2 linked regions of the Oryctolagus cuniculus genome follow. The protein of the gene in region 1 interacts with the protein of each later gene in a pairwise test. Links are inferred from orthologs where the notes say so. Each region holds a gene or a part of one and is shown on either strand. Other genes may lie near its edges.

Region 1 (3,650 bases):
CCACCTTCAGGAGTTACTCTGGTTGAGGTAATTATCTTCCATTCCTCCAAAAAGGCTGCTGCTATACTTTAGGTCTCCTGTCTGATATGTTATCCACTGTTGATGTGAAAACATGTAACAGACGTTTCTCAGAATAAGCGTGTTCTATACCTAAATGTATTCTTTTTATATAGTCAGCTAATGATGTTTGAAATCACATAGAAATAGTACAAAAAAGTATTTTTACCTGGAACCCAAGTCAGTGGGGCACACACAGCATTACTTGCACTAATCCTATGTGCATACTTGATTATTTCTTCAGAGGAAATAGCACCTGAGAGAGTTCAGGGGACAGGGTAACATTATAGTAAGTTTGGAACTGCATAAACACGGTTACACATCACACTTGATTTTAAATTATCTGGAAGTATCAGAAAGTTATTTGAAAATAATCCCAGTTATCCACCTTCCATAACAACACATATATATTTCGCATATATAAAGCTAAATTTTTTATTTCCAAACTATAGAAGATGCTTGTTCCAAAAAATCATCTGGCATAAAGAAACAAATTTGAGAGAACAGCATGTTAATACTCAATAGTCCATGATTAACTACCACCAGATACTACTCTTCTAAAATCAACAGTGAATGCAAATAAAATAGTGAAACAGTACTTTATCTTGCAACAATATCCAAGCTATGAAATTGGAGCAGAAGGTTCACACCACTCTGCCTAATTAACTTGACCTAAGGTTCTATTGGGGTGGGGAACTTTTTTTCTGCCAAGGGCCTTTTGGATATTTACACAAAATTATCTACTTAAAAATTAGCCTGCCATAGATATATTGAATTTGAGTCCCATCTGCAGCTGTCTTGTTAGGGCCAGAACAAATCATTTCCTGCTGAATGTATCCCACTCCAAACAGATCCAAACAGAAAGACATCTACAATGTGTTCCTTAGGGGGAGGCAGAATAAGCTGCTAAACAGCATGGTTTTTTTTGGAAAATATAGGCACATGTGTATTCATATTTTTATTATATACATACTCACAGATCTAGAAAAAAAACCTAGGACACACTAACCAAACACTAAGAATAGTTATCTCTGAGAAATGAGGCTCACTATAAACTTTAGACACTGCTTTAATGTAACAAGGTAACATGTTTCTGTATGTAGAACTTTTGAAGACTCAACAAAAACATGGTCCAGATTTCAGATGGCCATACCATCACATTTCATAGAGATCTGTTTCCTGCTACAGAAGCCTAGCCCATCTCTGAGAAGATATTCACTGCTCTTCATATGTAATCATGTAAACACAGGTTCCCAAAGGAACAGGAAAAGAAAAGTTAGACAAATCCAAAATGACTAAATGTAAATCATATCTACAAATTACTAGAGACAAGTAACCAGTTAATTACAATTCCTATTTCCAGTATGCAAACTAAATGAAGCAGCAAGATCCATAATTGAAGCCCTTTAAAGGGGGAGAGCTGTGCAGGAAGGCAGGCTGGGGTTCTGCCTGCTAAAGGTGCCTGCACCCAGAAGCTCCATCCAGCTTTGATTCCATCATGCTCAACCAAGTGTAGAACAAGTGTAGCTGTCCAAAGGACATTCTCTTTCATTCTGTCCTAGACTTCAAGATCCAGTTGAAATCCCACTTGCTTCCAGCTCACACTTCTCCCTTCTCTGAACAGCTTTACAAACCCACTGTCTTTACTGCACACTCAAGTAGAGAGCTGAAGTTGCCCTCTGTTACTGCTTCTGATAATCTGGAAAAAGCATGTAACACTTCCGCCTCCCTAACAATGCCCATCACGAGGCTAGAACATAATACTCTTTACAATGAAAATTTATTAGGATCTTTCAACAGCAGCAAATGATTACCAGGAACATTCTTTTCAGATGCTTCAGACCAGAACTTGGGTTTTTCAGGTCATCCAGTCTTCCCACAGTACTAACCTTTTCTTGCTTTTTCTATTGACTTGAGTTTTTCTTTTGCTTGGTAAACAGCTGTTGCCTAATTAAAACAACATTAAACAAAGAAATACAGTTTATTTTCAACTTTATCAAGCAATTTTTGGCATAATTCACAGCATGACTTATCTCAAAGGAATAATGTGCAAGCTCAGAACCCCCATAATTTATCTGCAAAGTTACAAACTATTGTTACAGTGTTCTGAAACACTCGATGTATTTCATGAAAGAAACAGACTCACCAACTAGTCTGTCATTCACCCACAATTGTTAGAAACACAGTTTTAACTGGATCCTTTACTTTAGATCCAGACTACTTACCACCCCCAAAACATCCTATTCTTGCATCTAGCTCAAGAATAAAATACCTTAAAGCTCCCTGTTAGAAAAAAGGAGTAAGATACATTCCTGGATTGAAATTCACTTATATATCACCTCAGTACTTAATGACTGTTACCATGAAAACATTCCTCTGACCTGCCACAGCACACTAAAGGGTAAAATAAAGTGACCTTGTAGAGGTGTATCCTCAACTACAGCAAGGTGGTTAAAAGTATGGCAACAGAAGATCTAGGTTTGAGAGCCATCTCTCTGTTTTTAGCCTCCTTGGGAGTTAGTTATTTAAAGCACTGATTTCTTCACCTGAATAATGGCACTTTATAAACTGTCTGAAGACAGAAATAATGCATATAAAAAACAAGTGCAAAGATCAGGGTCTAGGGCCCAAATGCTTAATCAGCACCAGTTGCCGCTGTCCAAACCATAAAATTCACTCTCAGGATTCTCATGTTCAGTCTTTAATTCAATAATTCTGGAAATCTTAAGAATATAACCCAAAATGCAGAAGAAGAAAAAATGGTTCCTCAAGGACGTTCAGTAACCCATTATTTGTAACACTTGAAAAATCAAACAAACAAGATAAAGCTACACAGAAAATGCTCATGTTTTAATAAAGAGTAGTACTATAATAACAATAAGGTACAAAATGAGTACACTGAGATTCAAAGGAAATAAACCAAACTGTGAAGACTAGCATGCTTGGGGCAGTGGGACTAGAGGCAATTTTTTCCAAATTGATTTTGATAAGTAAATACTACTTTCAAAAGGAAAAACATATCTTAATAAAAATATCTTTTTTCAGAAGCATTTACTTGGGGTTGTTTCTTCAGGAGGGTGGTTCATTTCCCCTGAGCGGCTCAGGCTTCTGATTACTAGAAGCCACTCACACATTTTCCAGAGGTCCATCAGGGTCAAGGACCTGTCCATCAGGGACAAGGAGTGGACTAGCAGCATCCGGTCTATACAGGAATCGAGCTCAGCCACTGCTGCAGTACCACCGCACGATAATCACACTCGTCAGTACAGCGAAAACAGCAGCCCACAACAAAGGCAAAACCAGAGTTCTCAGCATAGACCTAAACCCCACACAGATTAGGATGGAAGGCTAAATATACTCTACTTTAATCAATTTATAAAATCATTATTATTTTTACTGATTTCAAAAGTTTAAAAGCCAAGGTTTTACATTATTGCTTAAAACATTAGTGAGGTTCAAAAATAATGAAGACTATCTAAAAATATGCCAGAAAAGTGGGGGAAGGAAGGTGACAAGGGCCTATACCTTACTGACAGAATATTATTTTTCATCTTGGAAGGTTTTTCTACTCTTCAAAATACTGATAATAGACC
Region 2 (2,688 bases), on another chromosome or scaffold:
CTGACAGCCCCTCACACGCTCAGCTTTGCCACACCAGGCTGAGCTGCATTAATAAGCCACTTGGTTATACTTGGTTATGATGCAACAGCGGTCATTTCTGTGGTCACTGTGCTATCGTTAAATATCTAGTGACCACCTACAGGATCTGGGAAATGAGAATGGTGCCTCTAGTGGCAGGATTTGGTATCAACCAGGGAGACAACCTTTGCCTGTGCAGCTAGTTTTTGCCAAAGCAAGCGAGGGTCTCAGGGAAACAGAGGGCTTCTTCCAGGCCACCGTGGGGTTGAGGCAGACCTCCACCTGCAGAGTTCTCATCGCAAGACCTTTCCAGGTGAACTGTTACTTGAACGTCAGATTCTAGGAGAGCACACTAAGTCACGGAGGCAGTGACCATCAAAGACTCCCTGCTGGTGACTGGATCTGTCACTTCCCAGGAGGTTCCCATTCATCTTTCACAAAACAAGCGAATGCCTACTTTATCGTTCACACATGCAGAAGTGCACACACACAGCACCCAGACTTCTTGGAAGGAAAATAAACTTTCGGTTTACTCATCAAAAACAGCAAGTAACAAAAACCCTCATCAGTTAAATAAAAAAGTGACATTCTTTATTTTATCAGACCTCCTTAGACATTACATTGCATTCGTCTGCATGGTCATGTTCTTCAGGAAGATCCTTTGTTCCCTTCTGCCCTCCCACCCCCTCAATTACGTTGATGGGCTCATCTCCAAAATGAAGATTTAAAAAAATCTTCCTTAATGCCATTTTTTAAATTGACCAATCCAGATTTTTTTCTTTGTCTCTTACATATTAAACTTAGATGTCCCATGTGGAGATTTCATCAGCACATTTTCAAAACAAATCGAAAGTTAAGCCCTAAGTAAGCGTTTCAAGGCCGAGACGTGCCATTGTATTTCTGGGAATTTAAGAATCACCGTGTTGCACCAAAAAAGCAGGATTCAGTTCCAGAAGCAAATTCTTATCCTGGGCTTTATCATGAAGTCTAACATAGTTCATTTCCACAGTAATGACTTCACACAAGCAGTGTTCTGTTCTTCTGAAGGTTCACTTGGACTGCCTCAGCCTTAATTCCTGAAAGTCAATGACACCATCTTTAATCAAAGAGCCAGGGTAGACTAGAAAGTGGAGCAATGCCAGCAAGAGAAAATTCTTGGCTTCTAAAAAGGAAAACGTTGTAAGGAATAAAAACGAATCAAATCACGTAACTTTGTACATGCTGGAAATAGCCAATGTGCCACCAACACAATTTTCAAAAAAATGTCTGAAGGTTTGGATCCATGTACACAGTCTCCCCTGTCTGTGTAGCTACCTTTGCTACTAACCACACATCTTTCCCATATCTGCTATTCATTACGAAACTTTTAACCAGAATTTTTGGCAATAAGCTTCTTATTAAATAAAACAAGCCTCATAAAAGCATTATCATTGACGTCGGAAAACTGAATTGGGAGTCTTTCTGAAATATGTGTCATCTTCAAAGAATTGCCTTTTCCTTCATAAATCAGCAGTGCTCCATCTTTAAACAAATCACGACCCGGTACAATCTTCACTCACACGTTCAAATGTTCTCTTCGTCCAACATCTTGTTGATGCCATCACAAAGTTTCTGTAAGTGGGGTTTGAAATTTCCGAAAGGATTATACAAGGCAGCCAAGAAATCACAATCTGAGAAATGGTCAAAGACATTATTAACGCGTCCGTGCGACTTGGCGGTGAGGTGACGCTGAATGATCTGGTGCAGCAGCTCTCTGCACTCGTTCAGCAGCCTGGACAGCACGTTCCGGTCGAAGGTGTAGTCCACCTGGTGGAAGCTGACCACCGTCATGGCCAGCTGGTGGACCTTCTTCTTGAACTTCTCCATGAGGGCCAGCTCGTCCTGGTTAAACTGGTTGTTCCTGTAGAGAATGGCCAGCTTGATGACAGTCTTGATGAGGTCCTTGATGATCTTCTCGGCCTCCTTCTTGCTCTGGGTGTACTCCCGGGTCACCCTGTACAGCTCGTCCAGCACCTCGCTGCTTGTGTCATCTATCAAGGTGGTGGCGATGGACTTGGACACCATCTTCCCCAAGATCTTCTTTTGCGCCTGAACGGCCAGGTTTTTGGAGTTGAAGACATCTGTGGCCACTGCAAAAGAGAAAAAAAAGGAGTGGGGGGGGAGACCATTACATATCGCAAGAGAAGCAAATTTTAAAACAGTTATTATCAGGGAGTACTTTTCCCCTCTCATTTCCCCATTATTTGTGGCTTGTCTCCCACTACTTTCCACATTTCCAGGCACTGTGGAATCGTTCAGGTGAACGATCTTTAAGGTCTTTGGCAATTCAATTACCTTCTGTTATACAGTTAATACCTTCTTTAGAAGTTCAAGGTTATAATGTCTTTAAAAAACAATTTTCACCTTTATAAAACAGTATGTCTCATCAGACACTAAGATTTTACGCCATTTTCCCTAGTCAACTTTATTAAAAAAAAAAAATGCATTGAGAAGATCAAGTCTATACTGGTCCACTGGGCAATGAACAGCAAGGGAAGCAACAGAAAGAACCCCACCTAAATCAAGAAGGAGAAGTGGCAAAGCAATGGCAATGAGTAAAAATGGCAAATTCATGGAAGCAAATCAAAGGGGAGCCCTGTTTCACAACCCAGTTATAAAAAGGCAGATTTC

The links.
Region 2: the proteins of MED4 (region 1) and TNFAIP8 interact in binary tests that used the Homo sapiens proteins (3 or more experiments, as listed by UniProt). The two-hybrid records come from large-scale screens. The link is inferred for Oryctolagus cuniculus from reciprocal best matches to the Homo sapiens genes MED4 and TNFAIP8.

What each region holds. Positions count from the first base shown.
Region 1 is NC_091440.1:67,114,833-67,118,482, forward strand, and holds part of MED4 (mediator of RNA polymerase II transcription subunit 4), read right to left. Parts: intron 2,005-3,650; coding exon 1,947-2,004; intron 314-1,946; coding exon 227-313; intron 1-226. UniProt on the Homo sapiens protein: Component of the Mediator complex, a coactivator involved in the regulated transcription of nearly all RNA polymerase II-dependent genes.
Region 2 is NC_091437.1:9,305,898-9,308,585, reverse strand, and holds the end of TNFAIP8 (tumor necrosis factor alpha-induced protein 8), read right to left. Parts: intron 2,148-2,688; coding exon 1,582-2,147; 3' UTR 588-1,581; downstream 1-587. UniProt on the Homo sapiens protein: Acts as a negative mediator of apoptosis and may play a role in tumor progression.